Caenorhabditis elegans: one gene and its partners. The protein of the gene in region 1 interacts with the protein of each later gene in a pairwise test. Each region holds a gene or a part of one and is shown on either strand. Other genes may lie near its edges.

Region 1 (9,635 bases):
CATCAGCCCAATGTCTTGAGACATCTGAGCTAGCAGTGGATCCGAGAACATTGGCACATGGCCAAGTAGTTCGTGAATAAGATCCGGTTCCGGAGAATGATGCGGTGACTTATGATGTCTCAAATACGTAGTTGTCTGGAAGACCCGAAAAGCAAGTGAGGCCAGGAAGTCGCGAGCCGACAGTAGTCCAGAGCACGGGCGAAGCTCGAATCCTGTTTTTTCTGCAAAAAAGTTGTATTGAATCTACTTTTATTGGAATTTCAAAATGATCTACCGATTCATGACAGTATTCCTACAAAACCTACTTTGCAAGAACTTATTCACATCTCGAATCTGAGGAATCCTATCCGCTGTCAAAACCTTCTCCTCTTGGAGAATTTTCAAATTTTGCCGATATACCGCACATGTGTGGGATAAGTGGAGATCACCCAATTTCTCGTAGACAGCCTTCCACGTGGCGTGCTCTTCCTCCGTGTAGTCCACGTAGCCTATCTCGTCACCACTGTAAAAATTAGAATATTGGACTTATTGTAATGTGAACTTGCTTACAACTTGAACTCTAACGCCTGATCATTCAAGAATTTCCGACGCGCGATATACGCCACGTCGCCGTGGCCCGGATGTCGTGGATCCGTTGTTGGCTCGTACTTTGTAATGCACTTCGAGCATTGATCGAGCTCACTGATGTGACGGGGAAACCAGATTTGTGATTGATTCTTCTCATCGGACAGTTTCTTGGCGAAAATCGAGAATTTCGTGAGCGCCACGTGGTTTTGCGTGAGCAGCTCTGCCGAGTGAATTAACTGGTTTTTAGTAGCCTTGCACGCTAGGAGCACGTCGTGTGAAGCCTCATTGCCCCGAGTTTCCACGTGGCAAATTTGAACCTTTGCGCTGGACATGTTTTGGAGGATGTCGGACACAAAATTGGAAAGCGTTGGGTCAGTGGAAGTGAGAATAATAGAAAATTCGATAGGAGTGACGTCATTCGCAGTGAAAATTACTTCGATTCCTTCGTCGTTCAGTTGTTGGAGAATCTGAATCGTCGGAATTTTAAGTTTTTGCGTCGAAATATTTGAAGTCGACCGTTTAAACTACTTGACAACAAAAATGCGTTTGTTCTTTGAGAGATCACGGATCACAAGAGCTTGTATGGATTACTGTACCTTCTGACACCTCATCTGATCGGTGAGCTGTTTTCGGTGTTGAATTGTGTTCTGTCTCCGTATACCCTTATGATGTTGAGTCTCACAACTCGCTTGGTGCACCAAACTGTAGCGACGTGGATTTTTGGAGTTCTCGGCTACTTTGGTGGCGATGACTGTGACACCGCGAGGTTCTTCCTCCTAGAAATTGAAAAACTCAACTTTTCTATGTTTTTGAACTTTAATGGCTTCTATTTCGATTTTCGTTTTCTTTTTTTTTAATTCGCAAAAAGGTCGGATTTTCAAAATGATCACTTAGGGTGTTAATTCTAAGTTACCATGAAAGTATTGTTGGTTAGTGACGACATGTTAATTGAGACGTTCCTTGCGACGTTCACCGCCGCAATTAGTTTTGACAATGGAGACGACACTTCTGAAGGGTTACTGTAGATGGTTAGACGGGTATTGAGAAAGTTATTGGCCGAGAACTGATAACCCAGCATATGAAAGTGAACACAGTGATTGTTTTAGTAAATCAATAGTAATTGCAGTGTTACGTGACTCAATTTAGTTAGTATGTACGTTTTGTAGAGGTACTTTCAAACATTATTTAGAATGTTAGCGTATGAAAAATTAGTTGGTAATGCGTTATAATGTGCCAAAACTCAAAGAAAACACTAAAATTTGAAAATTTTCATGAAAACTTCCTAGAATATATATACACACATTCCACTTGAATAACACATTAACTGTTCGACTTCTCATACTATTCTTTTTTACTATAGATATTATAAAAAGTGTGTGTTGATGAGGTTGTCTGAGAATACAACACAAAGAACATTGTTTTCGAGGTCAAAATATCAGAAAAATCACGGAAATTCTATTTTTCAAGTTTTTAATTTTTAGTTACCAGGGAGACCACGTTGAACTAGAAAAACGAACGAAAGCCTAACGAATACCTGAAATATATTTGAACAGAATTTACGTGATCCTCTCCAGAGCCCCGCCTCCGCATATACCGCAAAAACATTTCCTCTTCCAATTTTTCAAGGGGTCCCCACGCCAACAACGACAGTGAGAAGAGATAATTGTTGCTCCTGTTGCTGTGTTATGGAGTACTCTGAAAGAGAGACACCACATTTCCTTCCGTATCAAATCATCATTGCATACTTTGGAGCATATGAATGTGCATTGTTATTGTGTAATATAGCATTGATTCCATGGAAGGAGTTGTTCAGGTGAAATGCACTTTTTGAAAAGCACGGGGTACTGTAGATATGACGTGGGACGATTTTATACTGAATTAACAAAAGGAGAAATGAAGACAGGTGTGACTTCACATAGTTTTTAAATAAAATTTCCGGGTTATTGGAGATCTTCTATGGTTCCTATTCCAAAAATTTGACTTTTGTCAAGTTGTTTTATTATAGTTTTTTTAAATGTCTATTTTTTGAGACATTTAAATCGGATTTTCTTTTTGAGCATAAATTGATTTATACAATGTCAGGAAAACTTCTTATTAACAAGATGAAATTCGACGCTTTCACGATCGCCAACGCTAGCCCAATTTTTGTCGGCCGCTTGTTGTTGATTACCAGTCAATTTTGGATATGAAGATCAGATTCTCAAGACGGACGGAAGTAAAAGGACATTGGACAAGAATCAAAGGTCAAGCTCTGGAGTTTGTTTCAATGGGAAACCTATAAACTCTAGCCTGAATGCTCCCAGTCTATAAATTTTGGAAAAAAGATCCCTTCGGGGATCCGAAAACTTCTTATTCTGTATGTATGCCTTCTATTAGTAAGGCATGCGATACTATTTTCCGGACACTTCAATGAAGTGACTTCATTTGATTCAAAACTAATAAAAACAAATCGGTTTGCTAAATCAAAAGTTGTAGTTTGTAGTCTAGCAGGCCCAATCTTTTCCAAAATTCACTAAATTTTGAGCTGTTCGAGTCTGAAAACTGAACATTTTTTTAGTTTTTAACAAAAAAAAACCATGGAAAATCGAAGCTTTTAAATTTTTTTCAGCTTTTGTTGAACTGAAAATGGAAAATTTTCAAATTTTGCCATGAAAATTGCTTGATTTTTTTATTTTTCAGCATGAAAATAAAACATTTTTCGATCAAGCACGTTCTTAACAACACGAAATCAGTTGAGAAGTCTCCGTCTAGTCTCCGTCTCTGATCAAACCTACATGGGACAGTCTGTCACCACGTGAGTTTTTTCACTGAAAAAGGCCAAAAAATTTGAATTTTTCTAATTTATGAGCGAAAAATGTTTATTTTCATGCTGAAAAATAAAAAAAAATCAAGCATTTTTCATGGCAAAAATTTAAAATTGTTCCATTTTCTGTTCAACAAAAGCTGAAAAAAAATTAAAAAGCTTCGATTTACCATCGTTTTTTTTTCGTTAAAAACTAAGAAAATGTTCAGTTTTCAGACTCAAACAGCTCGAAAATAAGTGAAGTTCAGAAAAGATTGGGCCTGCTAGACTACAAAACTACACATTTCGATTTAGCAGACCCAAGTGGAAGTTGGCGTGTATTTTCTCTTTAAAATTGAAATTTTTTGAAAAAAAACTGATGACGTTGTTGAAATTTCCGTATGTCCTCTAATAGTTTTGCATAAAATTAATTTTCGGGAAAATAGTAGCGCTTGCCTTACTACTAGAGGAAATATATTTAAGTACGGTATAAGAAATTTTCGGATCCCCGAGGGGATCCTTTTTTCCAAAATTTATAGACGGGGAGCATTCAGGCTAGAGTTTACACTCAAAATAATAAAACTGCGTGGCGTGTACTGCAGAAAACCTAATATTTAGGCCCCGCCTTTTTTTCGTCCACTCACGGGGAAAAGGCAAAATTCGGGGACCAACCAATATCAGGCCGCCGACATCTCATGGGTTCCGCGCGCCGCTATGTTTAACTCGCAGCGGGCGGAGACAGCTTGCCACACCCACAACGAGTTAAACATAGCGGCGCGCGGAACCCATGAGATGTCGGCGGCCTGATATTGGTTGGTCCCCGAATTTTGCCTTTTCCCCGTGAGTGGACGAAAAAAAGGCGGGGCCTAAATATTAGGTTTTCTGCAGTACACGCCACGCAGTTTTATTATTTTGAGTGTATAGGTTTCTCAATGAAAAACCATCTCCAGATCTTGATCTTTGATTCTTGTCCAGAGTCCTTTCACCTCCGTCCATCTTGAGAATCTGATGAACGTACCGAAAGTTGACTACTAATCAACAATCCGCGGCCGACAAATCGTGGGCTAGCGTTGGTGATCGTGAAAGTGTCGAAAATCTTGGAACTGTTCCTCACATTGTATAAATCCATTTATGCTCAACAAGATTATCCGATCCAAGTTTCTCGAAAAATTGTATTTTTCCCGTCTTTTTAACATGAAATTCACTTTTTCAGAGTAGTCATAAATTAATTCCCAAATTCACTAAAATCGTGCGCACTACTTGCGAAAACTGCGCGTGCCGCTTGCCGAAAGGGCGGCCGCTCGATGGAGCGTGTTTGCATCGCTTTGAAAAAAACATTTTCGCGCTTTTCGGCCACTGATTTGATTTCTATTTATCGATTTTTCGTGGAATACGCTGATTTTCCTGCAAAAACGCAAATTCTCTGAAAATCTACGATTTATTGCAGAGATCGAATGAAATGGATCCGAATAACTTGCAAAATAGCCTAAATGGGACTGGAAATCCCAACTTTCAACCGGTTCAAACGAACGCCGGCGGATTCGGACATCAAATGGCTCAAACTGGAGCTGCTGCAGCTGCCGCCGCTACCGGCCAGTACAATCCGATGTTGTTACAGCAGCAATATTTGAATTTCGGATTTGGAATGAATTATAATAATCAGGTAGCGGCTTTGGGGGATTTTTCATGAAATTTAACCAAATTTTTTCAGCTTTTCGACTTTCAAGCTCAACAGCAACAGCAGCAGCAGTACCTGATGCAACAACAGCAGCAGCAACAACAGCTTCATCACCAGCAACAGCAGCAACATCAGAATATCGCTCAGCCGCAAGCCCAACATCATCAAATGAACATGTTCACACAACATCAGATGCTTCAATTGATGCAGCAGCAACAACAACAGCAGCAGCAACAGCCAGTTCAGCAGATTCAAAGGCAACAGGTGCATAGAATATCTGAAAGTTCGGAAAAAATCCGCTTTTCTCAGTTTTGCAGTTAAAAAATTAAAATTTTTCAATTTTTCCAGCCAATCGCCCAACCAATACCACAACACACAATTCCACCGTCAACCTCGAATCAATTTCAACAGCAAATTCAGTCGGCGGCTTCATCGATTTTCGACTCATCAGTGATCTCATCGCATCAAAAACTGTACGAAGAGCAGTGTCGACAAATTGAAAAAGAACGAAAAGAGCAGGAAGAGCGAAAACGGAAGCAAGAGCTCGAAGAGCAGAGAAAACGAAATGAGGAGTTGAAACGATTGCGGATTGCTGAGGAAAAGCGGCTTCTGGAGGAGCAACAGAGGCTCCGAGAGCAAATGGAACGGGAACGGTTGGCAGAGATCAAGAGGGTGAGATTTTGGATTTAAAAAGCTGGAATTGTGGTTGAAATTCGGACCAGATCCTGGATTTCCACACTAAAAATCTGAAAAATCCATTGAGAATATTTTTTTAATGCCATTTTGAAACTGAAAACCCCTTTAAAATCGAAATTTTTCACGAAAAACTCTTTGAAATCCCCTCCCCCCCCCCCCCCCCTTCCAGAAACGCGTTAATTATTGATTTAGGCGGTAAAAGTAATTTGAAAAACTGAAAAATCTCTAAATTTTATCAAAAAAGTTGGAAAAGACACTTTGCAATCGATTTTTAACAGAAAAATTTGAAAATCACGAAAAAAAAACGTTTAAAAATCAACGAAATGTAATTCAGCTTTGTTGTGCAGCCATTTTTAATCGAAAAACTCCTAAAATTATGTTTTTTTTTCAGCTAGAAGAAGCCGCCCGTCTCGAAGATGAACGCCGTATTGCTGCCGACATCGAAGCTCAAAAACAAGCGATGCTTCAAAAAATGCAAGCCGAACAGAATAAGCATATCGCAGAAGTCGAACGGCAACGGAGTGAACTGGAAGAGCGATTCGCAAGAGTTTCTCAGCCGATGACACTTGTTGGAACTCATTTTTTACCGAATTGTAAGGGAAATCATGGGATTTTAAGAAAAACTAGATATTTTTACTGTTAAAAATTTATCTTGATTGAAAATGATTTCAAAAAATTCAATTTTTGGACAAAAAATACAGAAATCTAAGAAAAATTGCAATTATCATATCGAAAAGTGTAGTTGTGCAATAGGCTTGATTTTATTTTTCCCAACTTGAAAATAATTAAAATTCAGGGCGAAAATCGAAATTTGCTTGTGAATAAATCATAAAAAGTATTTTTAATTTGTATTTTGTAGTTTATAGTCTCCGTAGCACCAATAATCACCTTTTTTCAGTCCTCGACATGATTCCATTCCCATATGAAAGTATGGTTGATTCTACACTTCCACAAGTATTTGATATGGAACGAGATAGCGCAATTCTTGAATCATGTGATCCTCAAATGGTCGCCACAATTAGTAATATCCTGAATGCCACTAATATTGATGATATGTAAGTTGGAATATGGAAATTTTTTGTTTTTTTTCTGAAAAAGTGGTGTAAAAGTCTAAAAATCTGTTCAGAAGAAAAATTGCTGTAATTTTTTAATTATAAAAATTATCCGAGTTTTGAAGACTTTTAGAACTAATTTTTCTAAATTTTCAAGTATTCTTCTTTTTTTTTTGGAAATCTGGCTCGTTTTTGAGACGTAAGTGCACATTCATAGAATGTAGATACCAGCGACACTAATTGTAAGCCATTGCCGATAATTATTGGTTATTGACAACGTTTATCTGGAAAATGACATGCTTATTTCAAGTTTTCAGAAAATATTCGCCTAAAATCATATATTTTGATTCAAATCTCTTCAAAATCACTTGGGTCTGCTAAATCGAGAGTTGTAGTTCGTAGTCTAGCAGACCAAAAAAAAATTTAATTCAGAATAAGTTCTGTTACAACTGTTTTAAAAGCGTTGCTCAAACTACAAACTATAAAATATTTCACATATCTCTTTTCTTCCAGTATAACTCGAATGGACAAGCTCCGTCCTGACGACAAAGAGACAAATGATCTATTCCTTGACAAACTCCCGCCAATAATTCAAGCAGTCGTCAATTATAATACAAGCGCTCTCGACGTGGATTCGCATAATGACATGGAATTGTTGGAGAATGAGGATGTAATGATGACTGAGGATATTACAAGAACTACTGCTCCTTCAACGAGCTCCTCTTCGTATAATAATCATCATCAGAATTCGATTGTAATGATGACGTCATCGTCGGTTAGTATGTCAGAAGCAACACAGAGTTCAAGTGTTACTATGAATCATCACGATGTGGACGAGGAAGGACCCGCGCCGATTTCCATTGAAAAGCGCAGGCAAATGATGTCTGTTGGTAAGTTTTTACGGAAAACTGCCAGTTTGACCCTTGAACTTTGACCCCTATATAAGCAGCTGGTTTTTCTACACTACAAACTACAATTTTTCTTTCAGGAAAAGCACCAAAAGCCGGTGGTGGCGGTGGCCAGAATCAGCGGAAGAAGCGTGATATGGTCGAGAATCTGTACGATTCGCTGACCGACAATTTCGTGCCAACAGACACCGGACGACGTGGCAGACGACGTGGACGTGGATCCGACGATGACGAGGATGAGCTGCTTCAGCGGGATCTGAAATTGATTGAAGAAATGGAGAAGGGGGTTAAGCTGCCGGCAAGTGTCACTGGATTCACAACAACCGAGGAGGATGTTCAGCATTTCTTTGGGTCACAGAAAAAGCGAAGAAAGGAGGACAGAATTAGGTAAAAGAATTACACTACAGTGTAGTTTGTAGTTTGTAGTTTGTAGTCTACAATTGGCTTTTTTTTTGCAGGAAAGATAGATCTCCAACTCCAGAAGACGTTATCGAATCGCGGGATGCTGAATGGCAAGAGCGCCTGCGTCTGAAAATGGAACGAGAAAAATCGCGAAAAGCCGACGAGGAGAGCCAAAACGCGTGGAGCCTGCAAGCGCTGGCCGACAACGAGACGTTCACTCGATTCTGTCAGACTGTTGACGGTGTTCTGGAACAGGGCGACAGTTTGGACACTGAGCTGAAAATGCCGAAGAACAAGAAACGAAGATCCGGCGGCGATCATCATCATAAAGGAGATGAGAATTCCGATGAATCGGATGAAGAAGAGGAGATGGATGAGATTGATCCAGATCTACGGATTGAGTTGTACATACTTGAAGAGCTGAGAAGAGGATCCGCCAGATTGAGAGAGAATCATGCCTTGCAGGTGTGTAGTTTGGAAAATTCGATTTTTAGTGCTAAAAACTCGAAAAATTGCAGTCTAGCAGCTTCTAAAAGCGTAGAATGTGACCTGAGCACAGATTTTATGTGCTAAAAAATCAAAATTTTCCATTAGAAAAATCCAAGTTTTAGTGCTAAAAATTCTAATTTTTTCAATACCATTTGGGTCTGCTAAATCGAAATTTGTAGTTTGTAGCCTTGCAGACCAAATACTTTCAAATTAACTAGGGTCTGCTAAATCGAAATTTGTAGTTTGTAGCCTAGCAGACCAAATCTCTTGGGTCTGCTAAATCAAAAGTTGTAGTTTGTAGTCCTAGCAGCACAATTTCAAAATCGAACATTATTCTACTAAAAGTTTGCCAAATAAAAAAATGCAGGCCGTCGGAGCAGACAAACTACTGAAACTCGTCGCAATGCTGGATCGTAACATCCGTGACGCCATCTCGGCCGACAATCAACGTCTTCTCGTCCCGTGTGACGATGACGTGGATGTTGGTGACGTGCTCGAAAAGGAAATCTGCGAGGAACGAGTGAAACGAGCATCCGACGCTGCCGTTGTAGCACTGAATATCATGTCGAGTCATCGAATGCACAAACAAGTTATCATAGAGGATGTCATTGATCGATGTGTTGGATTGACTCGTCTCTTGCTTATTCATTTAATCTACCCAGCGTCGGATAGTATCTACAAATCGGTTAATTCTAAGAAAAAAGGTGCATTTTGTAGTTTTAAGCATCTCCATTAAAGGAGGACTAACGGTTTGACCAATTTGAACGTACAGACCCAAAATGAGCTCAAATAAACGAATTTTGTAATGAAAATTCTCAAAAACTTTCCAAAACATTTTTTATGGCGGTTCAAAATTTCGAAAAAATGACACTGATTTTAGCTTGAAACTTGAATTTTGGACATTTTCCGTGCCTCATCTGCCCGAAGTTAACTTTTTTGGAATTATCATCCTTTATTGCATATTTAGGTAGTTTATCTCATTTAATTTCGTTGATTAAGGTATATTTAAAGCCAATAGGTAACCAATTTCGATGATTTTTGGTTACCTATTGGCTTTAAAT
Region 2 (12,681 bases), on another chromosome or scaffold:
TTCGCCCATTTTATCAAGATCCGGTCATAAAAGTCTGTAAAATATTTTGTTTCCGATCAAGGGTGCTGGCGAATATCCCGCTATCGCTCGTCTCTGCAGTTGCCATTGCCAGGAAAATCCATGATTGAAATGTTCTCAACTTTTTAATTTATTCAAGTTGTTATACAGACCGAAAAATTCGAAAACTCATTTAAATATAAAATTCATAGCTTTAAAACTTGAGCATTTCTCAGTCGGATAATTATGCGTCGCTAGTAGTTCCAAACTCATTCTCCACTGCGTCGAGGCGTTTCTGCTGCATTCTGACGACAGTCTGGCTCATATCAGCATTCGATTGGAGAGAAGAAATTGCGTGGTCCGCCTGAAAATGGTAAATTTTCTTATAATCTTTCTTTACTTTTCCGAACAAATTTTCGATTTTTCGGTTTTTTTTTTTTGTTGAGCAAAACCGAAAAAAAATCTGAAAAAACTTCAAAATCGGAATTTCTCATCAAGAATGCAATATTTTTTATTACGGTTTACGCGTATTTCATACAAAAAAACAGAAATTGCACTTTTTTGAGCAAATTTGACCGCAAAATTTTTCACTTTTCGGTTTTTCAAAAAATCGAAAACCCCGGCAGGCTTGTTTCCGAACCTTCTCCAACTCGTTCTGAAATCCCTTGACAACCTCCGCTTGTTCCGGATGTCCACGACTTTCCATTGCGATTTTCGACATCTTGGTGATTTTCTGAACATTTTTAAATATTTCAGATAATTATTTAATTGAAACCCACGTCATCATATCCTTCCAACTGTGTGATATAATGTTTGAAGGTGTCAAGAAGAGCCGAAAATTTGATATTAATCTCATCTTTATGCTTTTCAACTTTCGAGAAAACCTTGAGCGAGGTGTAGGCTTCCTGAAAAAAAAGATTAATTATTTCTCTTATTATGGGAACATTTAATTCTGAGAATGCGTATTGTACAACATATTTGACGCGCAAAATATCTCGAAGCAAAAACTACAGTAATTCTTTAAAAGACTACTGTAGTGTTGATTTACGGGCTCGATTTTCGAATCAATTTTCTGTTCGAAGTGTGCTTTAATAAATGATTTCCGTAAATCGATACAAACGCTACAGTAGTAATTTAAAGAATTACTGTAGTTTTCGCTTCGAGATATTTTGCGCGTCAAATATGCTGTATTATCAGAATTTTGTGTTCTCGTAATAAAGGCTGGTTCACAAAATTACCCAAAATTACCGAATTTTTCTTTTTCTTTATAAATTATGTCGGTTTTAAAAATTGGGAAAATACATTTTTTCTTGCTAAAACCTCAAATTTTGAAAGCTTTACAAAGTCAGAACTTGCAGAAGTCAGTTTTCATTTATTTATCACATTTTACTACACATTTTGGTCGATTTTTGTGCATTGCGACCGAAAATGTAAGAAATTGTGATAATTAAATAAAAATTTACTTCTGCAAGTTCTGAAAATACGCGTTTTTTGAGAAATTTTTGGTCTTTTTAGGTGTAAAATTAAGTTTTTACCTGAACTTGAGAATATCTGACAGTCTTGTGCTCGCCGTCAGAATGATGATGATCGACGATACAATTCGTGCAAATCGGCAGAGTTTCAAGGTCAACTGCGTCGATTTCAGTTGTTTCGAGAAGATTGTCAACGAGTTTTCCGACGACTTCAATGCATGTTTTGCAGCAGCGGAATCTGTATGGAAAAAATATTGATTTTTTTTTTGATTTTGCAGAAAAGTTAATTATTTTTGAACTCCCGCGCAAATTTTCTCGGAAATTGGCCAAAAACTCGATTTTTTGCGGAAAAAATGTCTGAAAAAATAGAAAATCTTTTTTTGCTGCAAATAAAAAATATACATACAATTTCAGGCTGAAAATTTCAGTTTTTTGAGTTTTATTGTGAATATTTTTTAGAAATTAAAAAAAAACAGTCAATTAAATTGAAAATAACGAAAAATGCTCAGCAGACGCTCCAAATATTTCAATTTTCTGTGAAAATCGGCTCCAAAATATCCAAAAAATGAGTTAAAGAACCTTTCGACGGTCTGCTTGGTCATACACTCGCTGCACGTGAGCTCAAAAATTTTCTCGACGGGCTCTTGGCATTTCGTCTCCTCGTCCTTTTTGTTGATGGCCACGAGAGCAGTGAATGATTTCTGAAATTTAATTTATTACTCAGTCGCGAAATTTTGCGCGAAACTACGGTATCAGGTCTCAACACGAAAGATTTTTGTTGAAGGCGAGAAGGTGTGCGCCTTTAAAGAGTACTGTAATTTTTGTAAATTTTGAATAAATTGACAAAAAAAGTATGGGAAAAACATCGATTTTTCATCGTTTTTCTGTCGAAAAAAAATTCCAAAAAGTGAAATTACAGGAATTTTTTTCGACAGAAAAACGAAGAAAAATCGATGTTTTTCCCATACTTTTTCTGTCAATTTGTTCAAAATTCACAAAAATTACAGTACTATTTAAAGGCGCACACCATTTCGAATCCAGCAAAAATCTTTCGTTTCGAGACCCAAAACCGTATTTTTGACGCAAAAATGACGATTTTTTACTTGATATTCCTTGTCCTTATTGGCAATTTCCAAGCACACAGACTGTACATAATCTGACATTCTTTTGATTTCCTGATCAATTCTCTTGGAAAACTCCTCTTGGACATCACTAGACTTGCTTTTTCTCATCATATCCGTCATCTTGTCGAGCTCCTGGAATTATTTGATTATTGATTGAAAAAATAATATGGAGACGCAGAAAAATGCGCCTTAAAATTTAAAAATCAACGTGGAAATGTGCTCCGCCTCCAAATTATCGGTCTCGTTAGGTATACATGGCGGCAAAACTGGAAAATTCAAAAAATTCGAATTTCAATTGTTTTATGTCGAAATTGATGAAAAAATTGTTTTTAAATGCATTTTTAACGTCATTTTTCCGTAAAAATCACGAAAAGCAACAGAAAACTTCTTCAAAGATTTTGTCACCAAATATTTTCAAAAATCAAAATTTTTCGATTTTTTTAAACGATTTTTCGTGTTCCGAGGAAAAAAAATTGAATTTTCACTAATTTCCGAAGAAAAATTAGTTTTTTAAATCGAAATCCACTTTTTTTTTTGATAAATTCATAGTATTCTTCCATTTTTTCTCCTAGATTATCTCTGAAAATATCCGAAAAATCGAAATTTTGACCGCGCACATCGATTTCAAATATCAAATCAAAATCACCGTGTGGAATGTCTTATATGTCGATGCAAACCGAGCATACCACGCATTGGTGAGCCCAAACGACGATTCGAGCTCAATTCTCAGAAGAGAAATACTTGTAAGCTGGCTTGCGAAGTTCATTCCGGACTGAAAATTTACAATTTTAAGTCTTTTCTTTACAAATAAATTTTTTAAATATACCGCAACCGGGAAATAAGCCACAGTCTCGTGGCCCTGTGTGACATGAGATCGCAGTGCACAACTTCCACAAAGCGCCAACGATTTGATATCCAAATCCACCTTAAAAAATCATTTTTCAATTTTTTTTTTTTTTTTGAAATTGGATATTTTCCGGACCTCGGCACCCAAATTCTCCACGACGTCGTATTTGAAGGCATCAGTGACGCAATTGCGGCAGACGAACATGCTGGAAATTGAATTTTTTTGTTATTTCTAATTAAAAGAGGCCTACTCCGATTCGTTGTCGTATTTGGTGCATTGAGTGCAGTCCACTGCATTTGCAGGCTTCTTTGGCTTCTCACGAAGCTTTTGGATCATGGTCACAGCATCTGAAAAATAGTTTTTTTCGGGAAATATGAATATTTTTAAAACTTGTCAATGCAAAGTTTTTTGTTCGCTTCTCCTTGCTAACCACGGCCTGAAATTATTTTATTTTTAAACAGATATCAATATATTTAAGCCATACGCGGCATGTCGGGCATTGTGTCTGGCCACCAGATCCATATGCGTCAGAATAATCGCTTTTCAAGTGCACAATGCAAGTTTCGCATAGAGAATGGCCACAAGATATGATGAATGGAGCCTTTTGATCATCTGAAAATAAAAATGTGCTTGTTTTACAATAAAAATTGGGATATTTTTCACCAAATTCTTCCTGGCACACAGGGCAAGTCGGGAGTTCTTCATTAACATCCATTTTTCTCGAAAATTCTGAAAAATAAAGTTTTTTAAATTAGAAAAATCAATATTTTTAAATTTTCGTTATTTTTAATCGTCGAATAATTGAAATTTTCGTTTAAAATTAAGGAAAAACAATTTATACAATTTATATCCGGAAAAATTAATGTTTTTGCAAATATTTGAGTTTCAAGCGTTTTCGCTTCAAGTCTCAAGGAGGATAATGTGCTTGCGCCTTTAAAAACTACAGTAAGACCTTTGTTTATTTCGTCATCGAATTTCAATGTTTTGAATCAAATTTCCCGTGATTCCGGTTTGATTTTCACAATTTTATTATGTTTTTACACTATTTAATGAATTTTAATTCAGTATATAATAAAATCCATAGATTATCCACACTGAAAATCTACCAATACCGTCAGTTTCTCAAAAAAAAAACATTTGCCCAAAAAATGCCTGTTTTCCATGGAAATTCACATTGATTTTTAATTTCACAACGTTTTTTTTGCCAATTTCTTTCCAAAATTTCTCAAAGTACTTTCGCAAACTAATCGTTCACTTTTGCGTCATGGCTCTGTGCACTGGAAACTAATTTCAAACGACGCGCGCATTGTCTTGTGCGATGGAGCGCGCTTGCTATTTTCTAAAAAGTGCTCAGTATTTTTGAAGCTTTATGGTTTTTCCTTGTATTTTGCATAATTTTAAACATTTTTCTCGAGAAAAAATATTCGAAAAAGTAGAAAACGGCTGAAATTTGGTTGTTTTTAATTTTTTCCCTCGTTCCTCAATCTTAAAATCGAAGATTTCGTCATCTCTCACTGTTTGCGCAGTGCATGATTATGATAATTAAATTCTATTGCAGAAATGTGGCGATTATACCGAAAAACGCCGAAGCAGCTGAGAAATTCGGTCGAATCATGCTTCAAATCTGTCAATTCCCGCCAATTTTCAGTCAGCTCATTTTCAGCAGTAGCCAAAGATGATGTAATATTACCGCCTGCCAGTATACTGAAAATTCTGAATTTTTTTGCAGAAATCCGTGCTAAAACAACAAGAAGTTCTGCATCTTCTCGCAAAAGATCAGCGATTTGAAGAGCGATTCTTCAATCAAGTACAGCAGACAATTCGATATTTCGCCTCGAAACCAAATGATTTGAAAAAGTTCTTCAGGAAGGAAGCATCGACGGATAATAAAGGTTTTCAGAGGGAAATTATCATTAATTCGAAGTTTTTTCCAGAATCTTCATCATCTTCTGACAAAAAGGACAGCAAAGGAAATAAGGGAGAGGATAATAATCCGTTTAATCAATTGTGAGGAGGAATAGACACAAAAATCGGCTAATTTTGGCTAAAATCTGAAATTTCGCCCAAATTATCATCATTTAGATGCTTTTCACCACGTTATTTTGTTTATTGAAGTCTCGGAGAAGCCCCGGAAATCATTTCTAGTCGAATTTCTTTGGAGTATTTCAAAAAATTGACTTTTACAGGTTTCCCGGGCCGTATTTTGAACTTTTTGGCAAAAATTGTCCCAAAGATCCGGAAAAAACTTGTAAAATCCAATATTTTTAAAATAAATTGGTGATTTTAGCTAAAATTAGCAGTTTTTTTAAAAAGTTTTATTGGCAGAGCAAAAACCGTGCCAGAGTTGCAAAAATTGGCGTTTTTAGCATTTTCTCCATTTTTCCAGATTTTCAAAAATCGAAAATTCGGGATTTCGGAATCATTTCAATAAAATTCAAAATTTAATGAAATCACGAATTTTCCAAATCGTTGAAAAAAAATTCCGAGAAAAAAAAAACAAAAAAACGCCCATTTTTGCAATTCTGGCACGGTTTTTTGCTCCGCCCACGATGTTTTTGAGCGGGGCACCACGTTTTCAAGATCTACGAGAAGAAGATCTACGTTTTCAGGATCTGGCACCGTGCCAAGTGCAGTTTTCGCAGTTTTCTCGAAGAAAATCGAAATAACGATGCTCCGATATTACGCATCGCGAGTTGTTTAGCGTTTTTCAGAAGTTTTTATTCAAAAAAGGTTTTTCTGACTAAACAACGTGCGATGCGTAATATCGGAGCATCGTTGCTTTTTCTTCGAGTAGACTGCGAAAACCGCAGTTGGCATGGTGCCAGATCCTGAAAATGTAGACCTCCTTTTCGTAGATCTCGTTTCCGGCTAGATCTTGAAAACGTGGTGCCTCTTTTGAGCACATTTACCTTTTCTAAGATTTAAAAGTGGGGTACCGAAATCTGGAAAATATTTTCAAATGTCTCCAAATTTTCTTCTCATTCCAAATATCGATGTGAAAAAAATCAAAACAATTTTCTAGATTTTATATGATTTTTTGAAAATAGGAAAAATCACAGTTTTCACCTAATTATTTTTGAATTTCCGCCAATTGGATTTGTTCGGTGGAGCGTGCTTGCAGTATTTTTATCAATTAATTTTTTTAAATTCTTGTTCTTTGACTGATTTTCTTCATTTTCTATGTTTTCTCCTCGGAAAATGGAAGAAATAAACAAGACAAATGCAAAATTCTTGTTAAAAAGTAATTGAAAATGAGTAAAACTGTGAAATATACTAATTTCAGGCTTGTTGCCGTCGGAACTCAGAATATCACAGTTTTACTCATTTTCAATTACTTTTTAACAAAAATGTTGCATTTGTCTTTTTTATTTCTTCCATTTTCCGAGGAAAAAACATAGAAAATGAAGAAAATCAGTCAAATAACGAGAATAAATAAAATTAATAAATAAAAATAATGCAAGTGCGCTCCACCGAACAAATTCAATTGGCGGAAATTCAAAAATAATTAGGTGAAAACTGTGATTTTTCCAATTTTCAAAAAATCATATAAAATCTGGAAAATTTTTTTGAATTTTAATATCATGATATTCGGTCAATGTGACCCCATAGGCGCGTTTTAAAGCAATTTACCCACTGAGCGTAGTCCACCTTTAAAAAAACGGAGAAAACCTCTAAAACCCCTTAAAATCAATCTAATTCCTCCAATTTTCAGCCCAGGAGGATGGCAACAAATTGCCGTTTCAGTTGGAATTCTGCTCGCTCTCTACGCCTTTATGGATTATCAGTCGTATCGTGAAATTTCCTGGAAGGAGTTTTACAGTGATTTCCTGGAAGCTGGACTTGTCGAGAGACTTGAAGTAGTTGATAAGCGATGGGTTCGAATTGTTAGCTCGTCTGGAAAGTATGCAGGAGTTAGTTTTTTAGTTTTTGCACTGAAATTCGTGAAAAAATGAATTTTTTTCTTTCAGCAAACGTGCTATTTCAACATCGGAAGTGTGGATAGCTTCGAACGGAGCCTCGGAGCTGCTCAGCATCATCTCCAGTATGATGCTGATCGACAAATTCCGGTTTTATATAAATCTGAATTCAATTTGTAAGGATTTCTGCAAAAATCACTCCATTTCAAGAAAAATTAGAGAAAAAAAGAAAAAACCCCCGATTTTCTTAAAGAAAAAGCTCTGGGAAATGGGAAAAGTTATAATTTTTGCATGAAAATTCAGAAAAACTTTTAATTTTTCACATTTTTTGTAGTTAAAATTTTGTTTTTAAAGTGAAAACCTTCAGAAAGTCACTGAAAATGAAAATTTTGCACAAAAATTATGGAAAAAGTTGCTTTTTGCTCGTTTTTTGCACTAAAATTTCAAAAAAAAAATCCGATTTTTCTGATTTTTTGCCTGAAAATTTCAAAAACAAAAATTAATTTTGCTGGTTTTTTGCAGAAAAATTTTTAAAAAAACGCAGTTAGGCTGTTTTTTGCCTAAAAATTCGAGAAAATCTCAATTTTGCTGAATTTTTGCACTAAAAGTCTTTTAAAAAATCCGATGTTTCTGATTTTTTGCCAAAAAATTCAAAAAAAAAAATTTTGCTGATTTGTTGCACTAAAATTCCAAAAAAAACTCAATTTAGCCAATTTTTTGCACTAAAATTCCAAAAAAATCCGATTTTTCTGATTTTTTTGCACTAAAATTTCAACAAATATCAATTTTGCTGAATTTTTGCAGAAAAAATTTAAAAAATCGCAGTTAGGCTGTGTTTTGCCTAAAAATTCCAAAAAAAAATCCGATTTTTCTGATTTTTTTGCACTAAAATTCCAACAAATATCAATTTTGTTGAATTTTTGCACAAAAATTCAAAAAAAAACGCAATTTAGCTGATTTCTCGCACTAAAATTCTTTTAAAATTCTGATTTTTCTGATTTTCTGCACTAAAAATTTGAAAAAATCCAATTTTTCAGGCATTTTTACATTAAAACTCCCCCAAACTTCAATTAAAAACCTTTTTTTTTCAGCAAACGCGAAATCCCAAACCTCATCAGCGTCGCATTCCCTCTTCTCTTCGGCTATTACATCTATCGAATGCTGAAAGGCGGTGGAGCAGCTGGCGGAGCCGGAAGAGCTGGTGGAGGTGGACTCGGTGGAATGTTTGGTGGATTCGGACAAAGCACGGCTAGAGTCATTAATCGAGAAGATATCAAGGTGAAGTTCGCCGATGTTGCCGGTTGTGAAGAGGCAAAAATCGAAATTATGGAGTTTGTGAATTTCCTGAAGAACCCCCAGCAGTACAAGGATCTTGGCGCGAAAATTCCGAAAGGAGCCATTCTAACAGGACCTCCTGGAACCGGAAAGACACTTCTCGCGAAGGCAACCGCCGGCGAGGCAAATGTTCCATTCATCACTGTATCGGGATCCGAATTCCTGGAAATGTTCGTCGGAGTAGGACCTGCAAGAGTCCGTGACATGTTCTCAATGGCTAGAAAGAACTCTCCGTGCATTCTATTTATTGATGAAATTGACGCAGTTGGAAGAAAACGTGGTGGAAAAGGTGGAATGGGTGGACACTCTGAACAAGAGAATACTCTGAATCAGCTTCTCGTTGAGATGGATGGATTCACAACTGATGAATCGTCGGTCATTGTGATTGCCGCCACGAATCGTGTGGATATTCTCGATTCGGCACTCCTCCGACCTGGTCGCTTTGATAGACAGATCTATGTTCCAGTTCCAGATATCAAAGGTCGTGCTTCAATCTTTAGAGTTCATCTTGGACCACTTCGGACTTCCCTCGACAAGACTGTGCTTTCACGAAAACTCGCCGCCCATACACCAGGATTCTCTGGAGCCGACATTTCGAATGTGTGCAATGAGGCTGCGCTGATTGCGGCGAGAGATGCGAATCACGAGATTTCAAATAAACATTTCGAACAAGCCATCGAACGAGTCGTCGCTGGAATGGAGAAGAAGACGCAGGTTTTGCAGAAAGAGGAGAAGAAGACTGTAGCCTATCATGAAGCTGGGCATGCTATTGCTGGATGGTTCCTACAGCATGCGGATCCTCTGTTGAAGGTTTCTATTATTCCACGAGGAAAGGGTCTCGGATATGCACAGTATTTGCCGAAGGAGCAATACTTGTATTCAAAGGATCAGTTGCTTGATCGGTAATGATGATGCAGTTTTTAAGTTTTTATTTTTCAAAAAAATTTCCAAGAAAAAACTGTTAAAAACTGTCAAAATCGCGATTGGAAACACTTTAAAATCGTGATTTCTGGATATTTATAGTATCAAAAAGTGCTTTTATGAGATTTTCCCGACAATATTACACTTATTGCTTGATCGTAGTTACAAATTGTGCAAAATCGTGATTTCTGGAATTTTTTGAATCACGAAAACGTGATTTTTAAGCAAAAAGGTCCCCAAAATTTCACTTTTATGAAGCTTTGGCGGCGGATATGCACTCTAAAATTTTTTAATTTAATTTTTTTTAATCATAATTTTGAACCAGGAATAAGTCGACATTAGTTCGAAATTTAAAAAAAAAGCTCAAACAAATAGGAAAAAAGCTAATTTAACTTTTTCTCCCCAAATAATAAAAATCTTAATATTTTATTCAGAGAATTGAATTTTTTCGAAAATTTTTAATCTTTCCCTTCATTTAGGATGTTTTCCCAAAAGATTTCACTGTACTGATAAATTTTTAGCTGAAATTTTTCAATTCAAAATCAATATTTCTGATTTTTTTCAATTATGCATATTTCAAAAAATATTGTTTTTTTTTCGATTTTGCGATTTTTTACCAAAAAAAGAGCCAAATTTTGTTGGCAAAAGAAAACCTTTAATTTTTCGATATTTTTCAAAATTTTTAAAAATTTTTCAGAATGTGCATGACACTCGGAGGTCGCGTCGCCGAGGAGATCTTCTTCGGACGAATCACAACTGGAGCACAAGATGATCTACAGAAAGTTACACAAATGGCATATTCACAGGTTTGGTTTATTTTATTTTACAGCTTTATTGAGACGGAGCAAAAGTTGCAAAAAGTATTCGAATTTAATCTAAAACCGGCGATTTCTTGTCGAGAGCCTCTGTCAATCCTTCACAAATCGTCGACGCAATGCCAGTGTCCGGATCCACGTTGCATGTGCATTTGACTGGAGCCGAGCCGCTGAGAGCCGTGAAAATAATCAGAATTTGGAGAAGAAGAAGAAGAAGAATCAGTTGAAATTTCATGATTGAATGGATGGGGGAATGTTTGACTGAAGAGCTCTGAGAGAGCAGCTTTATCTGACATATGAAGTCGATTATGTTTTTGTTTCGGCGGGAGGAGAGCCAAGGAGAAATAGTGTGTGAAAAATGGAGAGTTCAGGCAAATACCAGAAGACATGTGTGAGCTGCTTTCCCGATTGAAACCATTTATTTAGAAGAAAACAGAAAAAGAATAAGATGAAAAGAATAGGACAAATAAATTAGATTGAAAAACAAAGAATGTAGGCACTCGAATAAATAGCTTAATGACGCTGAAGCAGGTTGAGCAGATGCTGTGGAGTTACGTATTGTCCACCACCACGACCATTATTTGGCGAGCCATTTCCGAATTGGATGCTTCCTTGGTCGCCGTTGGTATTTGGCTGAAATTTGAGATTTTCGGATACTAGATTCCGTGGAAATAGATTTCCCGAAAGACCCCGCCCATTTATTGACTTTTTCGGGGTTTTTTCGCTACAAAACTAGGTATTTTTAAGGAGGAACAGTTGGAAGGAAGCAATTTTGGCAGAAAATAGGCGAAAATTTGGTTTTTCGGAGATTTCATTCCGTGGAAATAGATTTCCCAAGAGACCCCGCCCATTTATTGGCCTTTTCGAAATGTTTTCGTTTCAATTTTGAAAAACGGGCAAATTTGTTGGCCAAAAATGTACAAGAAGGCATTTAAAAGAGAAATCTCAAAAACGATACTTATGACTCCTTGGAAGCAAATCCACCAAGAGGCCCCGCCCATTTATTGGTATCTAGCATTTTCATCTCGAACTGAATTTGTTTCAAAAAATGGCCGGAGCTCTTTAAAAAACATGTAAAGAGAAATCTTCAAAACGAATCAGACTCCGCCCATTTAATGGCTATTTCTAGAATTTTTTCGCTACAAAATTTTGTATACAAAACTGTGTGGAGATTGTGACCTTTTGAGGAAAAAAAACGCGAAAATTGCAATTTTTCAAATAGTAAAATGCACTCACCACAAAAATGACGTCAACTCTGTCCAATCCTTGATTAGTATTTGATGCTCTTGGCTGATTCTGCTGATTCGACACAAACGGATAACCATCTTGTGTTGTGGTTGTCGTCTGTCCATTTCTCTGATTATTGCATTCATCCAGGCGGTTTCGGAGACTTCTCATTTCGTTTGTCGTCTGTGCAGCAGCGTTTCGCAATTCATCCACAAGGGCTTTGTTTGCCCTATTGGCGTTCTTTTCCTTTTCAAGTTCATCACGAGCATCTTTGGCGTCATCTTCTGCTCTTTTCTGACGTCTGTTGGCTGTCTCAACTTCGTCCTTTGCTCTATCAAGATTCGCGTCCGAGGATGTTAGTTTAGCCTCCAATCTCATCACGTTTAAATCGAGTTTCAGAACTTGATTTTGACTCTTCACAAGTTCTGCAGACTGGCTATCGAAATTACGTTTCAAACTGACCATTTCTGCTTCTAATTGTCTTTTTTCCGCTTCGAGCTCATCTGCTTTGTCAACCTCCTGAAAAAAGGTGTCCTAATTTTTTCGAGGTGATTTGAGATTACCGCACCTTTTTAAACTTTTCCACCAGCCTATTATACTGGGCTCCTGTGTATGTCTGTTGTGCGTTTGGACCGCTGTAAAAAGGTGGAAATTAAGAAAATTATCGTGAATAGATGCACCGAACTTTTCTGCTTTACCATGAATGTCTTAAAATCACTCAAAAAATCACTTTTTGCTTAAAATTTGCCTTTTTCCTTATGGGGTTATTCAAGTAGTGTCGGAAAATTAAAAAGTGTAGAAAAATTACGTCACAACCTTATTCAAGTATATAAAAAACATGTATTTAAATACATTTTTGACGTCACAAATGTATTTTAATACATTTTGCTACATTACTTGAATAACCCCATTAAATTTTTGGGAATTTTTGGAGAATATTATTTTATTCATCCCTTTAAAAATTTTCTGAATCAATTTCGATTAAAAAAAAATTTTTTAAGCAAAATGCCGATTTTCTGAAAAAAA
Region 3 (8,549 bases), on another chromosome or scaffold:
ACCATTTTCTGGATCAATTGCCCCAATCAGTACGCCAAGTGCTCCCGTTGCCGATTTGGATTAAAAATATATCATTCAGCTGTGTTTTATTACTTACTTGAACATGAATAATAAAATTCAAAACAACAATACATTTCAAAAAAAAATAGGTGCAATAATTAGTTGATGTTTCTTTGGATTAGTTGAATAAAATTAGGTAGAATTGTCAGCAGTTTTCCTGTTTGTTCCTCTCTTGCAAATTATACACAGTATAATTGGAAAGTTATATTTGTTATATCCTCCTTTTTTCCAAACAATGCATTGAACAATCTGAATTTACTGACACAAACCAAAAAAAAGAGGATTGGAAAAAAAGGTTGTTGTGACATGTCTCTTGCCTCGGTCTATAGTTTTTGAAAACATTTTAATTAAAAGAAATCAAGTTAATTTCATTTTATGAGACTTTATTGGATAATTGAGATGAGAACTATAAAGCAGGGAAAATCAAGAAAAACATTTCGTCGATGAGATCAATGAGTGAACAAATTAGATGAGTGAACAAATTAGAATTGGTACAAAAATGAAACAAAAAAATCAGAAAAGTATTTTTCCGAGCTATTTCGAAATTATTAAATATCTATCAGTTTAGCAATAGATAGTTGTGAAAATTAATCAAGTTTCAATGTTTTAGATGGCTTCAACATCAACCATTTCCTCGTCATATTCAAACGACTCTTCATTAAGATCCTCATCAGCAGCGTAACCAATCTCCATACTTTGATTATTGATATCTTCTCCGTCGTCCAACTCATCAGAATCATACTCATCCCAATCAGATTCCTCCACCTGTCCATCCTCTGAAACATCGGAAGTTTCTGTGTCAGTAGCGTCTTCCATGTGATCAATGCTTCTGGACATTCTTTTAGTTGGGAAAGAGTAGACAATACTTCCAGTTCTTTCATCTTTCTGTTTCTTGATCAAATAACGAACAAAGACGACATCAATCATATTCGAAACGTCAATCATGTAATCCTGGTACTTTTCAATGAAGTACTCCGAGAGTTCATCGAAATGAAGATCAGGTCCAACAGGCTCCAAATTTGGGATAACTCCTTCGGGCAATGGCTGCTTTAGATCCTCTCTAATTTGAATGATGCGCTCATCAGTTTCAAAGTACTGGAAGAGATTACAGAGACTATCATATGAAGTAAGCATGTTTCCAAATAGAGCTTTTGAATTTTGAATGAACGTTGAGTACTCGGATTTGTAGTTCGTGCATTGTTTGGAATGAATAATCACTTCGGCTTCTTCGTTGAAACGTTCCATACACATTCCACACTTCTTGCACTCAGATGCTTCATACAATTCAGAAACACGTTGAGTCATCATTAAAAGACGATTTCCGTGCATGTGCATGTGATACTGAAAGTAGAAAACAATTGAATTTTAATTTTACAAAGATTTGACTTACATTCAAATCGCGTTTTGCGTTTTCGAGACATTCATCAATATGCTGAATAAATGGGATTTCCGAATCGAACTTTGAACTGCAATCTGAGCACTGTAACTTGTGGATATCTGAAGAAACGCTATTAGTCAAGAAATTGGATTAGGTTGTAGCTTACTCAAGAAACTGCGACAAGTGTTGATGTTTATTGGAGTTCTCCAAATGTCGAAAATTCTGTGAGGAATGCTAGTGACGGGAGTCATTCTGAAAATTGTCAAATTAGGGCTGAAATTAGGATTTTAAACAATATTATGAATAAAAGAAACAGATACTAATACAACAAACAAACAGAAAACTTTTAAAAAAAAGTCAATTATTTGGAACAATGATTAAACTGTTTCAGATCACAACCTGACATTCCAAAACGAGTGAATGAGGAATAACTGACTATATTGGTTTACACAAACTGGTAGGCTCCACCCTTTTACCAGCAATATATTGGTATCGATTGTTCATTTTAGCGTCCCATATCGTCTCATAGAGCATCACATTGCCACATACTGGATCACGATGTGGGAAATTTCACATGGTAGTCTACCAACAAACAGATTTACGGTAATTGTAAATGGGGAAAATGAATTATAGAAATACAGAACGGAGTATCTAATCGGCTACATGTCATATTGACACTTTGTCTTCCGAAATGACGATACTTTCAAAACCTACTACTGTACTATAAGAAACTTGTTAATGTACCAAGAAAGACAATGAAGACAATCAAATAAATAAAACACAAGGGAGGGATTATGGGTATTTTGTTTTGCATGATTGGATAATCGAGTAAGGATCTGTATTAGAGTTAGTTTGCGACATATATATATATATATATATATTTTATCAATAAAAAGGTAAAACTGATATGGCATATTGAAGCATGTATTGAACCTCTAAGTGTTCAAAGGAAAGCTTACGTATAATCAGCAAAAATGAACATTAATCGAAGGTTCACGCGATTCACATTTGCATTTCATGATTTTTCTTAAAGATTCTAAGATACATGTTATAATGAGATTTTGGCGTCAAAAATGCTCATTTAAAAAAATCCTATTTACATGTCCGTGTTTGTGAAAAAACTACTTGAATAGATTTAAACACAAATACACTTTTTAGTACATTTGCAATAATTAAACAAAATTTGAAGATGAATATCACATATAATTAAATATATTCGCTATCTGTGTTTCCAGAGCACAACTATTGTTTTCAAATCTCGCGTAACTCATTTCTAATTGAAGTCAGACTAAAAGTGTTCTTTCTCGTTGATGTATACTTTTTTATCGATAAATTAAGTAACTATTTGTTGTAAATGCGCAATTTTTTTTGAGAAAACATCAGTTTTTGTCACGAATTGATTGGTAATATTTTCTGATCGAAGTAGGTACAAATCACTTTTGACTTTGATTGAAACCCATTTTTTATAAGACAAAACCGGCAATTGCCGAAGTTGCCGATTGCCGGGAATTTTGAAAACCGGCAATTGCGGGAATTGCCGATTGCCGGAAATCAGAATTGCCGGAAATGTAAAGTTGATACTTCTTTGTAGATTTACGAGCCTAAAGAGGCATTTCAATGAACAATTTTCTCTTTTCAAGCTCGAAATGTTTTAATCCTACAATGATTTACCATTTTATTTAAGAAAATGACTGATCGAATACTATAAAACACTGTGAACATTTTCACTTTCCAAAATATAATTAGGTTTGAAAATTGCCGAAAATGTCCGGCAATCGGCAATTTCGGCAATTTCGGCAATTGCCAAAATTGTCCGATTGCCGCGCAGCCCTGGTTGAGAGGACACTTTCTTGGTAGACAAAGTTTATTCTTTATTTTTTTGGAAACAGTTTTTCAGAAGATAAAACCCTTACGAAAAATAGAAAAGTGAAAAGCAGAAACAGTTATTTTTCAAGAAAACGGCGGGGAACAATTTGAACAGTCAAATAAAATCTCCGATTTTTTTTTCTTTATTGATTTGCGTTTGTTCAAATGATTTTAGTTATAATTTTATAATTTTAATTCGTATCTTTACCTAAGGATCCTTACAACCTGATTCCGAGAAACAAGTAAAACTTAATCATTACTCAAGCATAACTTATTGATTCAAACACGCTAATAATAGAAGAATGAAAAATGAATGCGGTCTCAATAAGCAGAAACTTGAAAAGTTCACCACACGTGTCTTTCTTTGAGTATCTTCAAGAAAAATCATAACATGTGAATCTGAAACATACGAACTTTCGATTGAAGTTCAGTTTTTAAATATAAAATCTTCGTATTTATATTAAAATGCATGTTTAAGCTCAATTCATGCTTTGATCTTCCATTTATCAGTTTTAATTTTGTGAAAATATATATGTCGCAAACTGTACCCCAGCTTAAATACAAATCTTAAGTCCATCATCAAGTGTTACAGTTCAAAATACCCAAAATCTGTCTTTTTTGTTGTAACTAATTTATTGTTTCCATCGTCTTTCTTGGTAAATTTCTTATAATGCACTAGTAGGTTTTTGAAAGTATCGTCATTTCGGAAGACAGAGTGTCAATATGACATGTAGCCGATTATCTGTTTTTTTTATTCATAATATTGTTTAAAATCCTAATTTCAGCCCTAATTTGACAATTTTCAGAATGACTCCCGTCACTAGCATTCCTCACAGAATTTTCGACATTTGGAGAACTCCAATAAACATCAACACTTGTCGCAGTTTCTTGAGTAAGCTACAACCTAATCCAATTTCTTGACTAATAGCGTTTCTTCAGATATCCACAAGTTACAGTGCTCAGATTGCAGTTCAAAGTTCGATTCGGAAATCCCATTTATTCAGCATATTGATGAATGTCTCGAAAATGCAAAACGCGATTTGAATGTAAGTCAAATCTTTGTAAAATTAAAATTCAATTGTTTTCTACTTTCAGTATCACATGCACATGCACGGAAATCGTCTTTTAATGATGACTCAACGTGTTTCTGAATTGTATGAAGCATCTGAGTGCAAGAAGTGTGGAATGTGTATGGAACGTTTCAACGAAGAAGCCAAAGTGATTATTCATTCCAAACAATGCACGAACTACAAATCCGAGTACTCAACGTTCATTCAAAATTCAAAAGCTCTATTTGGAAACATGCTTACTTCATATGATAGTCTCTGTAATCTCTTCCAGTACTTTGAAACTGATGAGCGCATCATTCAAATTAGAGAGGATCTAAAGCAGCCATTGCCCGAAGGAGTTATCCCAAATTTGGAGCCTGTTGGACCTGATCTTCATTTCGATGAACTCTCGGAGTACTTCATTGAAAAGTACCAGGATTACATGATTGACGTTTCGAATATGATTGATGTCGTCTTTGTTCGTTATTTGATCAAGAAACAGAAAGATGAAAGAACTGGAAGTATTGTCTACTCTTTCCCAACTAAAAGAATGTCCAGAAGCATTGATCACATGGAAGACGCTACTGACACAGAAACTTCCGATGTTTCAGAGGATGAGCAGGTGGAGGAATCTGATTGGGATGAGTATGATTCTGATAAATTGGACGACGGAGAAGAAGATATCAACAATGAAGGTATGGAGATCGTCTACGCTGCTGATCAGGAAGTCAATGAAGAATCGTTTGAATTTGAAGACTTTGACGAGGAAATGATTGATGTCGAAACCATGTAAAACTTCTCAATTTAAAGAACAAATTTTTGTTTTTGTTACAAAGCTACCATTGCTGAACTGAGTTGTGCTCAGTAAATTTGAAGTAATTCCGTTTCAGAAAATAACTTATTTTTTGCTCCATTCTTGTTCCAATCTTAGTTTATTCACTCATTGATCTCTTTGACTTAATATGCTTCTTGATTCTCCTTCTCTCTTGAATAACTTGCTTTGTAGTTTTTTGTTTGTTTGTTCACTTGTTCACAGCATTGCACTGCACCTTTCTTTGCTTGATTGTCATTGCCTTAATGATTTAAAACCGCACTTTTACAATAGCATGAAATAAAATCACTTTTTACATTTCTCAACACACAAGTTCTCAAATATTACAAATGTAGAAAATATGCAATTTTATCGAAATGAGGCAGCATTTGCATTGACATCGTTGAAGAGTACATATTTTTATTGTTGTATGATTGTTCGATCTAAACTTCAGACAATTGTTTAGCAATCAGAAGTTTAACAACATAAATCATGACTCTCCATGCTCCGTGATCAGGAAATGACCCTCTAAACAAGTTAATGATTTGAAATGGTTTATGGGGGAATAATATAAACTTTATTTGTTTTCATCTAGACTTGATAATATTTGTGTGTCCTCCCGAAACACAACAACAATGCCGTCTGGTGCCCCTTCGACCTATACATAAACAAGGTCACGATCAATAAATGTGACGTGTCGAAATTTTCAGAAATGTGTTATTCATCTAACAGTTGCAGAACTTTCCAAGTTTTAGAAAATTAATAATAATTTTTGTAAGTGTTCTTTGGTATAGAGAGCATATAGTTTTTTCTGAGAAAAAACTTCGAACAATGTTTTTTTCACTTACAAAAATTTAACAGAACCTGTTGGCTTCAAAGGTATATATTTTTAGTCGTGTTTCTCTGTAAATTAACTTCTTTCAGTTAAATATCAGGCAGTACAGTCTTTGGGAGAACACTTTGGAATCAACTCAACTCAAAGTATTAAAAAAATTAACAATCCGGCCAGCGGCTCTTAGAAATTAATTTTAGAATTATTTCTGCCTTTTAGAATTATTTCTGCCAATACGAAAAGTCGTATTTTACTTTGCAAGAGTATGTAGTGAAAAGTTGCAACGATTTTTCAAAAACGGAATTCTTTTCCGAAAAAATATTAAGTATGCTCAAAGTATTACTCGTTACGCTCTGTCTGTTTCTTATAAACTGCTGTACAATGCTTGCCTTGCCTTTTAAGTTCTGAAATGTAAAAAATTAAAAAAAAGTTTTCCTCGAAGACTGAGAGCAAGCATAATTTTCGCATTTACTGGATGTCTTGATGTCATTCGTATGTACCTCAATCGTATCCACAATTTTTTTATTTTTAATACACACCCCTTATCAATTCGGTGTGACTACTTGCCCAATAAACAAAAATCATACCCACGTAGTACTCTCCAATGGCTGTCGCTTAAATTAACTGGGCAAGAAAATTTAGGCGAAGGGAGAGATACTGATGCTGTGGATAAAATATATGAGAATTTTATTGATTGTTTGAAAAATGAGTGAGTACATTAAGTTGACACAATTAAACCTAACCAAGAAAATATTCAACTTAATATTGTGCTAACTACCTCAATAATTCAATGCAATGAAGTTTGATGTGAGCAGAGTAGGCAGTTGGGCAAACTGAAAGTAGGACAAACTGTGCATACGGCTACCAATCTTGTAAAAAAGAAAAAGACACATCAAGAGTAATTATTTCTTTAAGTGCTATACTGATTTTTAATCCTTTTGTGATTGCAATACTATTAGGGATTAGAGATACAGATTGATTTTCGAGAATTACAGTTTTTTGGTCAGGGTCATCTTCAATTTCTTTTTCAGAGTCTGCCTTTTTCATTAGGATTAGCTATACAGGACCAGCGAAAAATTATTTTCTGACAAAAATTGAAAATTTTCGCAGTTATTGCATTTTTTTTTCCAATTTGTAGAAGCAATTTTGTCGGTTTTCCAAGCCTTGGACAAAAAACAACAACTTTCTACGAAGAAAAAATCTAATTTGAGATTTTATGTTTGAAAAATCTATTCTTCAAATCAAATTTCATTCATTTTTCTTATGGAAGTTTATTATTTTTAATACGTTTAATGTATCCCGGATATTTTTCGGTTTTAAAATATGTGTTTTCCTTCAAACAAAAAAATTCCGAAAAAAAACTCATTTTTTGCGACGAAGCCTCCCTGTTATTGCGTTGTTCTTTTTTTGAAATCCTAGGTCAATAATAAGGACGTGCTACTTGAGTTTTCATAGAATTCCGGTAAGTTTTTATAGTATCGTAATTTTTTAATGCTGATTAGTTTCAGTGAGTAGGGGGAGCGTGACTTTGTTGTGCTTATGAACTTTCAATGATTTTTGTCGCTCGTTCATTTTACCGCTCGGTTCCGTAAGATGATATTTTGGCTGAAATCATTGTGACCAATGAAATTATTAAAAAAATAGTGATTACCACTATTTTCTGTACTACAGTCTTTGTGCCACGGAGATTAATATACTCTTGACCGACTTACTACAGCCGGAGGTGCTTCCACAAGTTCATGGGCTGATAAAAGGTGTCATGCAAGTCAATAAGGCCGTCTACAACTGTTTTACATTATGCTCTTGTGTGTAAGATTCTTGCAGGGTAGTTCCAGAGTGTCTGATAAATGACGAGAGCAGGCAAAATACATTTCAACAAGTCATTTAGGATCAGATGCTATTTATAGCTTTCAAAGATCAGAAGAGAACGGTTTTTTTGGTTTTAATTTGGTTGTATCATAATCCGTCGCTTCCTTTTGATGACATTTGGAACGGCGATTAGCGAGTTAGTAGATGTCGAGAACGAAGTGAGTAGACGAGTAGAAGGCAGCGCGGGGAGAGTGGGTTCGAACCAACGACCCCCATGTGGGTCGGCATGGAACCAGCGCCTTGTACCACTCGGACGCCCCCGCGCCGGAAGTGGTCGGGTAATACTGTAGGAGTACTGTATGATTACTGTAGTTTTCATACTCGATATGTTCTCAATGCTTATCATTTTTATTGGAAAATTACCCCTCCCCACACCAGCTGTATGATTTTGATCAATACTTCTCTTTAAAAATGTGCTGATTTGAAGGCCCCAAATATAATAGAACAGCAAAGTCACCAAGGGATTATGATAAAACCAGATCTAAACAAGATTTCAGAGGAAAAATGTGGCATCTCTTGCAAATGATAAATCTTTTGAATAACACAATTTAAAAAAACTCAACCAATTGGCCTCCTGTTTTCTTTGAATGAAAAAATTCTTCGAGATCTCAAAAGGAATGGGCCGAACCGGGGATTGAACCCGGGACCTCTCGCACCCAAAGCGAGAATCATACCACTAGACCA

Evidence for each region.
Region 2: the proteins of scc-2 (region 1) and Y47G6A.14 interact in a two-hybrid assay, tested with the Caenorhabditis elegans proteins (one large-scale study listed by BioGRID).
Region 3: the proteins of scc-2 (region 1) and ZK899.6 interact in a two-hybrid assay, tested with the Caenorhabditis elegans proteins (one large-scale study listed by BioGRID).

Annotation. Positions count from the first base shown.
Region 1 is NC_003280.10:250,356-259,990, reverse strand, and holds the start of scc-2 (Nipped-B-like protein scc-2), read left to right. Parts: upstream 1-4,794; 5' UTR 4,795-4,808; coding exon 4,809-5,012; intron 5,013-5,060; coding exon 5,061-5,291; intron 5,292-5,375; coding exon 5,376-5,699; intron 5,700-6,114; coding exon 6,115-6,316; intron 6,317-6,621; coding exon 6,622-6,778; intron 6,779-7,288; coding exon 7,289-7,665; intron 7,666-7,763; coding exon 7,764-8,070; intron 8,071-8,141; coding exon 8,142-8,550; intron 8,551-8,941; coding exon 8,942-9,278; intron 9,279-9,635. Other genes in the region: cat-2 (Biopterin-dependent aromatic amino acid hydroxylase family profile domain-containing protein), read right to left, coding at 1-221, 306-502, 550-1,034, 1,164-1,343, 2,128-2,172. UniProt on the Caenorhabditis elegans protein: Plays an important role in the loading of the cohesin complex on to meiotic chromosomes. Forms a heterodimeric complex (also known as cohesin loading complex) with mau-2/SCC4 which mediates the loading of the cohesin complex onto chromatin.
Region 2 is NC_003279.8:3,462,134-3,474,814, forward strand, and holds Y47G6A.14 (RING-type domain-containing protein), read right to left. Parts: upstream 6,055-12,681; 5' UTR 5,989-6,054; intron 5,448-5,988; coding exon of another isoform or gene 5,375-5,447; intron 5,333-5,374; coding exon of another isoform or gene 5,170-5,332; intron 5,121-5,169; coding exon of another isoform or gene 5,001-5,120; exon of another isoform or gene 4,999-5,000; intron 4,170-4,998; 5' UTR 4,156-4,169; coding exon 4,104-4,155; intron 4,053-4,103; coding exon 3,925-4,052; intron 3,877-3,924; coding exon 3,831-3,876; intron 3,788-3,830; coding exon 3,691-3,787; intron 3,646-3,690; coding exon 3,576-3,645; intron 3,519-3,575; coding exon 3,420-3,518; intron 3,366-3,419; coding exon 3,240-3,365; intron 2,726-3,239; coding exon 2,573-2,725; intron 2,171-2,572; coding exon 2,049-2,170; intron 1,708-2,048; coding exon 1,533-1,707; intron 903-1,532; coding exon 777-902; intron 731-776; coding exon 638-730; intron 362-637; coding exon 242-361; 3' UTR 137-241; downstream 1-136. Other genes in the region: AFG3-like protein spg-7, read left to right, coding at 5,001-5,120, 5,170-5,332, 5,375-5,447, 7,153-7,351, 7,409-7,533, 8,449-9,594, 10,311-10,419; Y47G6A.15 (DUF148 domain-containing protein), read right to left, coding at 10,942-11,061, 11,665-12,174, 12,224-12,290.
Region 3 is NC_003284.9:9,459,245-9,467,793, forward strand, and holds ZK899.6 (C2H2-type domain-containing protein), read left to right. Parts: upstream 1-4,100; 5' UTR 4,101-4,111; coding exon 4,112-4,196; intron 4,197-4,243; coding exon 4,244-4,350; intron 4,351-4,399; coding exon 4,400-5,146; 3' UTR 5,147-5,497; downstream 5,498-8,549. Other genes in the region: ZK899.5 (C2H2-type domain-containing protein), read right to left, coding at 667-1,401, 1,451-1,557, 1,605-1,689.